Linked DNA regions of Arabidopsis thaliana. The protein of the gene in region 1 interacts with the protein of each later gene in a pairwise test. Each region holds a gene or a part of one and is shown in the gene's direction. Other genes may lie near its edges. The genes, in order: MYB30, CXIP2 and AT3G03000.

Evidence for each region.
Region 2: the proteins of MYB30 (region 1) and CXIP2 interact in a two-hybrid assay, tested with the Arabidopsis thaliana proteins (one large-scale study listed by BioGRID).
Region 3: the proteins of MYB30 (region 1) and AT3G03000 interact in a two-hybrid assay, tested with the Arabidopsis thaliana proteins (one large-scale study listed by BioGRID).

Annotation. Positions count from the first base shown.
Region 1 is NC_003074.8:10,909,180-10,913,770, forward strand, and holds MYB30 (myb domain protein 30), read left to right. Parts: upstream 1-1,952; 5' UTR 1,953-2,263; coding exon 2,264-2,396; exon of another isoform or gene 2,397-2,722; coding exon 2,723-2,852; intron 2,853-2,968; coding exon 2,969-3,677; 3' UTR 3,678-4,011; downstream 4,012-4,591.
Region 2 is NC_003071.7:16,030,648-16,034,966, reverse strand, and holds CXIP2 (CAX-interacting protein 2), read left to right. Parts: upstream 1-1,797; 5' UTR 1,798-1,912; coding exon 1,913-2,293; intron 2,294-3,119; coding exon 3,120-3,620; 3' UTR 3,621-3,782; downstream 3,783-4,319. Other genes in the region: FAC1 (AMP deaminase, putative / myoadenylate deaminase), read left to right, coding at 61-114, 196-306, 380-553, 777-857, 950-1,048, 1,132-1,200. UniProt on the Arabidopsis thaliana protein: May only reduce GSH-thiol disulfides, but not protein disulfides. Participates probably to the maturation of iron-sulfur proteins and to the regulation of the redox state of the BOLA proteins.
Region 3 is NC_003074.8:675,500-678,817, forward strand, and holds AT3G03000 (EF hand calcium-binding protein family), read left to right. Parts: upstream 1-1,740; 5' UTR 1,741-1,888; coding exon 1,889-2,386; 3' UTR 2,387-2,681; downstream 2,682-3,318. Other genes in the region: HSFA1E (heat shock transcription factor A1E), read left to right, coding at 1-489. UniProt on the Arabidopsis thaliana protein: Potential calcium sensor that modulates ion selectivity of NHX1.

The DNA of each region.
Region 1 (4,591 bases):
TTCTTATGTATATTTTTCAAGAATATTATGCCTCTTTATATTCCACCTCCATACTTATTATGATGATTCATATCCTTACACTTGAATGCGTTATGTGAAATAATATATACTAGTAAAAGAAAATACCAAATCTATTACAATATATTATAAAGTATACATCTCCCATTTTTGTGGCCGTCGAATTTTCGTATTACATAATTACATTCAATAAAAATTCGGATTTGCAACTTGGTACTAAAATATTATGGCAAGGAGTGATAATTCAATGTAATGATGAACTTGTAAAAAAAAAATTAAAAAAATTTCAAATCCAAAAGATACGAATCTAACCTGTAAACAAAACAAAATTACAAAGGATTACAAACTTGGTTCGACTCTCGAAATTAAGTAGCAAATTCTTGTACCTCATTTCAATTTCACGGTACAAATGTTATTTTTCTTTGAATATAATTTAATATTTCTTTAAAAAATATATCTATATTTTTAATGGATAAAAATTACTTCTTAGTAAATAAAAATAATACAAATGAAAACAGTAAGATATCTACTTACCGTTTTACTAATGGTTAAACAGAAAACGGGACATTGTACGTGGAAAAAAAACATACTTAAGCAGTTTTGTTTATGATTAAAGAAAGACCATGCATTTTCAAAGTGGTTATGTAGACAAAAACCTTTTCGAGTTTCATTCCATATGTTTGATTAAACAGCCTGTTTAACACAACTTTATTATTATATCTAACGTAAATCATAAACTTTCCACAAAGTGAAAATTTCACACTTGTACAAATTGTCATTCAAAATTCCTACCTATATAAATAAATTATAGCACAACATTGACAAAAGAGAAGAAATTAAAGTAGTCTCGTGTCTCTTCTTCTTCCTTTTCTTCCGGCCTCGTGAAAACCAAATTGATTTCATCCTTTTTACTTGTTGACATTTACATACATACACATGTTCACATAAATAGATATAGTTGTATATGACTTGTGTCTATCAATCCAAAATCTTCATTATCTACTATACCAAATTCTCATACAAATATCTCTTAATCTCTTTTCACCACCTACGATATTGACATATATAACGTACAATTAATTTCATCAAAACTTAATGTGGCTGTATGACTTGTGTCTATCAAATCCAAAAATCTTCATTATCTTGTATACCAAATTCTCATACAAATATCTCTATATTTCTTTTCACCACCTACGATAACGACATATGTAACGTACAATTAATTCCATCTAAAACTATGTTTACTATAAACTCAAATTGTGGTCCATTAACACTAATCGCGAACCTTACCCGAATAAAACGTTCAACATCATGTATTCATATATGTTTATGTAACGTAATACATATAAACGCATATAAATCTATATATGGAGAAGTCGCTAACATCATGAATGACGTAGACCATCATGTAGTTTGACAATGGCCAAAGACCCACTGGTTCAATCCAAAACAGCAATTTTTTCTTTTCTTCTATATCTTAAAAAAAAAAACTATTCGTTTTGATAAAAAAACAACCAAAACAGCAAATCATGACGCAGAGAAAATCTCGTTCGTCAAAAGACCCTTTCATTAATTTCTATTATTAACAAAGCCTATGCAATACACATAAATGCAATAGCCACTATTCAATTCTTAAAATTATCGTAGCAATAAATCAAAAGTGAGAGAGGGAGATATCATATCATATATCATTATCATGTTATCATGCATGTCCCCATTATTCTTTATTTTTTAATAATAACATAAACCAATAAATTATTAAACCCAATAATATTTTTTTTGTTTGTGTTATTAGGGTTTTTGAAAGAAGCAAGCCCACATTGAATGCCACGCGGTTTTGTATGGAGGGTAGAGACTTTTCCTTTTGCCACACAGCTGACTTTGGAGGCTTTACCTCCACTTTTGTAGTTAATGCTTTACACATTTTTTATATACTTTTATTTATTATCTATACAATTTGAGAGACCCAAGAGTCCAAGACCAAGAGGGGTCAGCAAATTTCTCTTTCTCCTTTTATATATATATATAGAAGAAGAAGTGGACATAGACCTTTGTCGCCAAGCTTAACCATTAGATCCATTTCAGAGCTAAGCGTACTAATTAGTGTACTAAGGGTAGTGTGACTCATTACCACCTAAAGTAGTTTCAATTTTCTTCTATTTTTCTTGGCAAAGAGTTATAGTGGGAAACAAAGGGAGTGGTTAATAAAGAATTAATTAGTTAATTAAGGGAGTTCAAGATCATAATGGTGAGGCCTCCTTGTTGTGACAAAGGAGGAGTGAAGAAAGGGCCATGGACTCCTGAAGAAGATATCATTTTAGTCACTTACATCCAAGAACATGGTCCTGGTAATTGGAGAGCTGTTCCTACCAATACTGGTATGTATAATCTTCATTCATCATCTCTCCTCTCTACCTCTCTATAGATTTGTATGTAGATATTATTTGGATTTAATCTATGAGAGTGAGAGATAGACAAGGAATCAAATTGGTTTGGATTGAAATTTGTGTTCTCCAAATTGGTTTTGATCTTCATTTGGTTCTTCTTTAGGTCTTTAAGATTGTGGAATCAGCTTAATGAAAACATATGTAGAAATTAGGGTTTTGTTTATTGACCATGAAATTAAGATCTAATGCATGAGATCTTGTTATTTATATATTTTCTCATCGGTTCTCAATATTTGTTCGTTCTTATAAATTTTCAGGGCTGCTTAGATGCAGCAAGAGTTGTAGACTTAGATGGACAAACTATTTAAGGCCAGGAATCAAAAGAGGCAATTTCACAGAACATGAAGAAAAGATGATTGTTCATCTCCAAGCCCTCTTAGGAAATAGGTAAAAAATAATAATGACTTTTCAATTTCTCTAATTTTGTCTCTTCACACATTTTCTTTCGAAAATTAGAAGATTTGTTTTGATTTTTAATAGAGAGCATTTAATATTTGGTGTAGATGGGCTGCAATTGCGTCATATCTTCCACAAAGGACAGACAATGACATTAAGAACTATTGGAACACTCATTTGAAGAAGAAACTCAACAAAGTCAATCAAGATTCTCATCAAGAACTTGACCGTTCCTCGCTCTCATCTTCACCATCGTCTTCTTCTGCTAATTCCAACTCAAACATCTCAAGAGGCCAATGGGAAAGGCGACTTCAAACCGATATCCACTTGGCGAAAAAGGCTCTCTCTGAGGCTTTATCTCCTGCCGTTGCACCAATCATTACATCTACAGTGACAACAACGTCTTCCTCTGCTGAATCAAGACGCTCTACTTCCTCAGCTAGCGGGTTTCTTAGGACGCAAGAAACATCTACAACTTATGCCTCAAGCACCGAAAATATCGCGAAATTGCTCAAAGGGTGGGTGAAAAACTCGCCGAAGACTCAAAACTCCGCGGATCAAATCGCTTCTACAGAGGTAAAAGAAGTGATCAAGAGTGATGATGGGAAGGAGTGTGCAGGGGCATTTCAGTCATTTTCTGAGTTTGATCACTCATATCAACAGGCTGGTGTTTCACCTGATCATGAGACCAAACCAGACATAACTGGATGCTGCAGTAACCAAAGTCAATGGTCTTTGTTTGAGAAGTGGTTGTTTGAGGATTCTGGTGGACAGATTGGTGATATTCTATTGGATGAAAACACTAATTTCTTCTGAAGAGTTTGCTTTAATCACATGGTTCTAATTTTAGGATCCTCATCTCTATTTTTTTTTTTGGGTTTTCCAAATTAACTCGCTTAGATTATCGTGAGATAAATCAGTAATAATTTTATTTATTTTCCCTCTTTAATTTACAATTAATGATGGGGTTGTTTTATATATGGCCCTGTGAATTCTGAAGGGGCCTGAAAAATGTCCACCCAATGATTTTAGTAGTATTGGTGTAAAATCCTATATCTATTTTTTATTTATTAAAATGTTGTTATTGCTTGATTTTTCTTTTGCTTTGTAACTTGTAAGTATGATTTACTTTTGAGATGTTAACCTAAAAGTAATTCTGTTACAAATTAAACATACACTGACAAAAAAATTACATATATATATTGGAGAATGACCAAAAAATGCTCGCTCATATCCGGATTAATTAGTCCTAATGTGTAGTAGCCTAGTAAGTGTGGGATATAGAATTAATAATCAAATACTTACAACTTGCACTTAATTGTCAATTTATTTTCCTTAAATTAACCGTTAACTCACTAAGGAAAACACTTAACATTTATTTTAGAGTGTCAAATGGCGCCGCTCAATAAATGAAATCTTAGATTTAAAGATAGCCTTACTATTGGTGAATTTGAAAGACCTACTAATAAAGAAAATAGTACTAGTAAAGAAAAATTAACGAAATATTTATTGCATGAAATAAATAGGGCCGACAAGGTTTAAAGAAACTAATTATAAAAAGATAAATATAAATTTTAAAAACGGGATGGATTGGCACTATAAATATTGAAAGTGATGAAGAATTAAAGTTTGACTTTCTTTCTTGTGACCTTGTGAGTTGTGTGACTTACATCACATAGTTACTAAGTATGAAGAAGTCAATATCGCCATTAATTTAGCTTCTCCTTTGG
Region 2 (4,319 bases), on another chromosome or scaffold:
TTCTGTAACTAACTTGGTGTTCTCAAAACTGTGTAATATGGAGTAACTATTTTTCTTCAGCTTCGAGAGTCAAAGGGCATGACTACTATCACGCTACGACCACATTCTGGAGAGGTGTGTTATTTCTTCCTTTGTGCTAGATAAACAGTTTTCAGTTACAGTTCAGTGGAATTTTAACATGTCTACAAATTTCAGGCTGGTGACATTGACCACTTGGCTGCTACGTTTCTAACATGCCATAGCATCGCACATGGAATCAATCTGCGAAAGTCTCCTGTGCTTCAGTATCTGTACTACCTCGCCCAGGTTTGTGGAGACTGCCTGCATGTATTACATATGTATTATTGTTTCTGTTCTAAGAAGACATTTCTTTTGACAGATTGGTCTGGCCATGTCACCACTGAGCAACAACTCTTTGTTTCTAGATTACCACCGGAACCCGTTTCCTGTGTTTTTCTTAAGAGGTCTCAATGTTTCTCTGTCTACTGATGACCCCCTTCAGATTCACTTAACTAAAGAACCTCTCGTGGAAGAGTATAGCATAGCTGCATCAGTAAGTCATAATCTTTCCATTATGCAGTCTTGCCACACATCATAGGCCTTGAAAAGTTGATTATATTTTTAAAAGTCTTATTAGTTATTACCTTTAAATGATTTATACTGATCTTCTGCAATTGCAAACACGAAGAACAATGAAATTTCTCTCTATACATCCTTTTCTTCTAGGTTTTAGTTATATTTATGTATTAACTGAAGATGATAACTGGATTTTTCAGGTTTGGAAGCTGAGTGCGTGTGACCTGTGCGAGATAGCTCGTAACTCAGTGTACCAGTCAGGTTTCTCACACGCCCTGAAGGTACTTGTTATATCAACATGGCCCATAGTATGAATGAACAAGATGTCTCTGTTCCGATCTACTAATAATACTAACTTGTTGAGATGTTCCAGTCGCACTGGATTGGAAAAGATTACTACAAAAGAGGACCTGATGGAAACGACATTCACAAAACAAACGTGCCACACATAAGGGTGGAGTTCCGTGACACGGTATGGAATGAAATATATTTATTCTTCACACAAGTTAATTTCTCTTTGTAGGAAAACAAATTAAAAATATGAAGTTGATGCAGATCTGGAAAGAGGAGATGCAACAGGTTTATCTGGGCAAGGCTGTTATCTCTGATGAAGTTGTTCCATAAAAACCACAATCAGAAATGGCAAGACGTAAGAATCCAACATGTATGTAACAACTCAATGATCTTATCACTTCTGTTACAACATTTTCTTATGATGTCAATGATTGAATTTCAGATTGCAGGGGAACAAAGAGAGCATTTTGAGAAGTATACGAAAGCAGGAACCTAGTAGATAGGGTAATAATATGAGTGGCTCTGTGCCCTGAGAAAGCGATTAGGCTGTGCCAAAATCTTATTGTTTTATAAAGCTTTTTAGATAATGAGATACAAAGAGACCAGTTGAGAACCGGTTTTAATATAATGGATTTCAGTTTTTGGATTACATACTGTTTTAACTTGGATTCAGATTCAATTTTTAATCAGAAATAGCATTATGTTCGAAATCCAATTTTGTTTGTTTGTTTTGGTTCTGTTTTAAACCATACTGAGATCTGTTTACCGGATTAAACACATGTTTTTGGGTCACATTGGTAGATTTGGCTTGATCATGAAGTGAACTAGACAAATGTTCCTTTTGTTTCATAACAGACTGAAGTATGGAATGTGTAAGAAAAAAGAAACTAAAGCGGGTCCCACTTTTCCGAATTATGGTATTTAAAACCCAAGTATCATAAGGCCTTAATAACAGTCCAATTCAGGCCCAATGGATAAAATCCTATGTCAAATAAAAGAGCTCATCATTTTCCACCGATAACTTTTCTCAGCTCCGACAAAAATGGCTGCAATCACCATTTCTTCCTCCTTGCACGCCTCAGCCTCTCCGCGTGTTGTTCGTCCACATGTTTCTCGAAATACCCCTGTGATCACCCTCTATTCACGCTTCACACCATCCTTCTCCTTCCCATCTCTCTCCTTCACACTCCGTGACACAGCTCCGTCTCGTCGTCGTTCCTTCTTTATCGCCTCCGCCGTCAAATCTCTAACGGAGACGGAGCTGCTTCCAATCACAGAGGCTGATTCAATCCCGTCCGCTTCCGGTGTATACGCTGTATACGATAAGAGCGACGAGCTTCAGTTCGTCGGAATTTCTCGGAACATCGCTGCGAGTGTCTCTGCTCATCTCAAATCTGTGCCGGAGCTTTGTGGCTCCGTTAAGGTACTTATCCATGATTTCATATAGAGGAGTAGCATGTCTGTTACTATAACGAAGGATTCTTTGTTTTGTTGTGGTTGACTTTTGTTTATTACTGTTCATAGATTTGGGAAGTGTTTTGGTAAATGAATACTACAAAAGTTCATCACTTTAGTTCCAGAGATAGTATTTCATATCATTAGGATCACTATTGTTTGCAAAACTAGAGCTAATGAAGTTCTTGGTTCTGTTGTTGGTAAGAGTTCTTTTAACAACACTTACCACACATTATGATTAGGAGATGCATCAATAGTTCATTTTGTATATGTTACTTAGGAGTTAGGACTTGTTTTTTTAGCATTTTCTTTTGATTAGTTTTTTAGGGAAATTCTACTCTATAGATACAGGACAGTGCGCATTGGCGAGATTTGTCGAGGTTTGAGAGGTATATCGGTTTTGTACCAATGGAGAGAACTGATTCTCTTTGGCATTTTGATTACCATTCTGTGTCAGGTTCTTTTAATTAATAACAAGAGCTTTTGTTTTTTTTGTGTCCATGATCCTTAACTGTATCAGCTTACAACAGTCAAATCTAAAGATTGCTCTTGAGAAATTTACATTTTTATGGGTTGTATTATTATCTTAAGAATTTACATTTTTCCTCTTTCTATCATTTATTTGTCACTTATTGCTTATATTTTGCTTATGATTTACTTATGTTATGATTATTTTAGTGTTTATTTGCTCCATTGACTCAATAGGACTTTGTTTATGCTCATGTGATGGATATTGACAAGTTTTGGTATTGTTGATATATCTTCCATAACTGATTTCATCATTGTTTTGCTAGGTTGGAATAGTAGAAGAACCAGATAAAGCAGTTTTAACACAAGCATGGAAATTATGGATAGAAGAACATATAAAAGTAACTGGAAAAGTTCCGCCGGGGAATAAGTCAGGGAACAACACATTTGTCAAACAAACTCCGAGGAAGAAATCCGATATCCGTCTCACTCCAGGTCGCCATGTTGAGCTCACGGTTCCTTTGGAGGAACTGATTGACCGTTTAGTGAAAGAGAGCAAAGTGGTAGCTTTCATAAAAGGATCAAGGAGTGCTCCTCAATGTGGATTCTCACAGAGAGTTGTTGGGATTCTTGAAAGCCAAGGAGTTGATTATGAAACTGTTGATGTTCTTGACGATGAGTATAATCATGGGCTAAGGGAGACGCTTAAGAACTACAGCAATTGGCCAACGTTTCCACAGATATTTGTGAAAGGAGAACTTGTAGGAGGATGTGATATTTTGACCTCAATGTATGAAAATGGTGAACTTGCCAATATCTTGAACTAGTTTCATCCGATTTTCTTCTCTATTTCTAGTTGTAACTCCAAACATTCATTATAGAGAAAACATGCTTGGATTCTCTTCCATAGTTACAGATTCGTTTTCTGTTTTCCGCATTTATAAAAGGTTACAGATTCTATACAAATCTAAGAGTAGGTTTAAAACGCATAACCATCCACTAAATTCACCTATTTTGTGGTCATTTAACCAATGATTTTTTTTTTTTTTTTTTTACACTAATTGTCCCTTTAAATATATATGTTGAAACAAAACATAATTGGAAATGGAGTTAAGTAACTATTGTTACGTTAAATGATTTAATTGATTAATTTAGTAGCATTCTTATTCTTGTAGCACGTTTATTAGAGAATTATTGTTCTTCTTTGACATAATCTTTGGGTGAACTAACACAAAATATTCATTTTAAGTACTAAATTCTCATTTGTAGGATGAATATCTCAAAAATAACACAAATATTCTATGGTATTCATTTGTTACAACTTATATGAGTAACAAACGTTCATGAAAATTGAAAAATATGATGATGACGAGGTTAGTTTATGGGTTGTATTTTCTTTTTATTTTTTTTTTGGAAACTGAAAAAAATTAAATGAACAAATAAAACAACAAGTCAACGGTCTCAAAAATTCGATTACATAAAAACAAAACAATAAAAAAATATAAGTCAGACTGTAAAATAAGTTG
Region 3 (3,318 bases), about 10 Mb from region 1:
GAAGTTACATTGGCAGATGTTTCATCCATTCCTGCAGGCTTCTATCCTGCAATGAAGTACCACGAGCCTTGTGAAACAAATCAAGTCATGGAGACCAATTTGCCTTTTTCTCAAGGTGATCTCTTACCTCCAACGCAAGGAGCAGCAGCTTCTGGGAGCTCAAGTTCGGATCTTGTTGGATGCGAGACAGATAATGGAGAGTGTTTGGATCCAATAATGGCTGTTTTGGATGGCGCACTCGAACTAGAAGCTGATACCTTAAATGAGTTGCTTCCTGAAGTCCAAGATTCTTTTTGGGAACAGTTCATTGGTGAGAGCCCAGTGATTGGTGAGACAGATGAGTTAATCTCAGGATCAGTGGAAAATGAACTGATATTGGAGCAACTAGAGTTACAATCAACCCTGAGTAATGTGTGGAGCAAGAATCAACAAATGAACCATCTTACTGAACAGATGGGACTTCTCACATCAGATGCTCTCAGAAAATGAGATTGCCACAGGCCACAATCTTTCCTCACGAGGTAATCAGTCTATCTATATTGATATGTTATAAACCACACACTTTCCAAAATTTAAATTTTGTGCAAAACCAAACCCCTCGTCTTTGTCTTGTTATCGCAGATGGGTTAAGATTTTGTGGAGCCGCAACAACAAAAAGAATATGACCAAAGGAGGTACTATGTATGTATGTATCAAACTGTTGTAACTCTAATTCTTGTCAATGTATAATAAAATAAGAGAAATATTGCCTTAAAAGATTTTTGCATTGCAATATCTTTGTTTGTTACTGACAGAATGAAAAGGAGATGCTTCAAAGTGAGAGATATTCTTCTGTTCTTGTGTATGTCTTTAGAGATCCTTGTTTATTTTTGTTACATTAAGTGCAAAAATTGGCATTTTGGTTAACCTGTGGCCAAATCTTACCTGCTTTAGTGTTTTTTTATCAGTCCTTCACTTTTAGTTTCTTGAGTAAAACTAATGTTCCAATTTCGTCTAAAGGAAATCATCTAAAGAGAGAGTAAAAAGGAAGAACGTGTGTCGTGTGGATATAGTAACAAAGTGGTTTAAAAGGATCAAGTCATTGATTACACGGAATCAAAGTGTATGTACATGCATATGTTAAGCTCTGAAACTGCAACCGAACCAGATCCATTTGTCGTTTGTATCAATCTTAAACTTGCTTTTAACATTACATACAACATTACATATGATATTACCATTAGTTGTAATTTATATAGCTTATATGATATATATCTATTTCTGAAAACTATATAAATATTTTACATATGATAAATTTCACAGATATCTCATGGATATATTGCTTTAAAAGAGGATATGAACATTAATAAACATGTAATTTGTTAAAAGAATTGATAAAGACCATATATTAAGGATAAAATAGTTACTCTGAAAGAAAATTTGAACATTCATGCATGCAATATATAACGTATGTCGAACACTCGATTCATATATAGCTAACAAATGTCGAAAATATTATCTTCTTTAAAATACGAATCAAAGCTATAACATTTTTCTATTGTCAAGAAATCTTTTGGCATCCATTTCTACAAACCAGTTCCGGTGAATTAACGCTTAGCACGACTGTTTTCCCTCCACCGAACAACCTTTGACCGTTCCAATAATTGGTTCAATTAATAATTTAATTTAAAAAATTTCGTATTCCATCCACAATCATTTATTTGATTTAAATAAAATAAAATTTTTATTCTCTTGCTCATTAATAAGAAAATCAAAATCTTTACTCGTTTGAAATTTGTAATCCATTACCTGTCATCGTTGACTTGTCAAGAAGAAACAAATCAACTCTAAAAAGAAAAATGTTGTTCATCGAAATCGAAGCTTGACAGTATTCAAAATCAGATTCGAGATGAGCTGCGACGGAGGCAAACCGGCGCCGGCGAAACTAGGCGACGAACAACTAGCGGAGCTCCGGGAGATATTCCGATCATTTGACCAGAACAAGGATGGAAGTTTGACGGAGCTCGAGTTAGGCTCACTTCTAAGATCTCTCGGTCTAAAGCCGAGTCAAGACCAACTCGACACATTGATCCAGAAAGCAGATCGGAATAACAACGGACTGGTCGAGTTCTCCGAGTTCGTCGCCCTCGTCGAGCCAGATCTGGTCAAGTGTCCTTACACGGATGATCAGCTTAAAGCCATCTTTAGAATGTTTGACCGCGATGGAAACGGTTACATAACGGCGGCGGAGTTAGCCCATTCGATGGCGAAGCTAGGTCACGCGTTGACGGCGGAGGAGTTAACGGGAATGATCAAAGAAGCTGATCGAGACGGCGATGGTTGTATTGATTTCCAAGAGTTTGTTCAAGCGATTACTTCAGCTGCGTTTGATAATGCTTGGGGTTGAAGAAAGAAAGGTATATATATACATAGTTTGAAATACTTGTGTTTTGTTTTTTTGGCTTCATCCTCAAATCAAAGACATTTGGAAGTATATGTGTGTAGGTGCGATTCCATGGAAAATGTGTGTTATTTATTGTTTCATATTATTCTTTGATGAAATTTTGATAGCTTGAAGAGAAAGCTATCATTGTTGGTTTTAGGGCAAGAAAACTTTGCTATGCGTGTGAGTCACTTCTCCACCCGTCGCTTTAGCCACTTTAGTTTATGGAGATAAAGGTCTCTCAATATGCAAAACAAAAGAAAGCATCAAAACTGACTCTTTATCTTTATATGTATGGGGGATAATCAGCAAATATCGTATGATTATGATCTTCTAGTAAGACAATTGCACAAATTCATGTAAATTCGAAAACGATCCCCAATAATGGTTAAGGAGAAGGGAAAACAAATTTGTCACCGAGATATGTCAAATGATTTGTGAATCCAAGAGTTATTACATAGATTTAGCCCACATGTCTTCTTCAACCAGTCCTGCACGAGTTACATAGATTTAGCCCACATGTTGCTAACAACTAACAATCTTTGAGTGTATACGCATTCATTGACTATGCTAAATGCTAGAACTCAGAATAAACAAACATTTGAAATGGATATTACAAGCAGTATTCCCGGAAATATATAGTAATTGGTAGCACGATATACAGTGACATCAATACTATTTTAGCAAACGACCACTAACTATAGCAAGAAGTGAAACACTTATGCTGTATATTTTGATTAGCTGTTGCGCAGGAATTAGACTCTCCTTAGGACAAAATCAGTCAAAATCAATTCGTAGCTTAAACGCTTCAGTTTATAGATACAATAGACAAAACAAAGGAGAGCATCAAAACTTCATCTTTAAAATGTTGTGGATAATCAGCAAATGTTGTCATA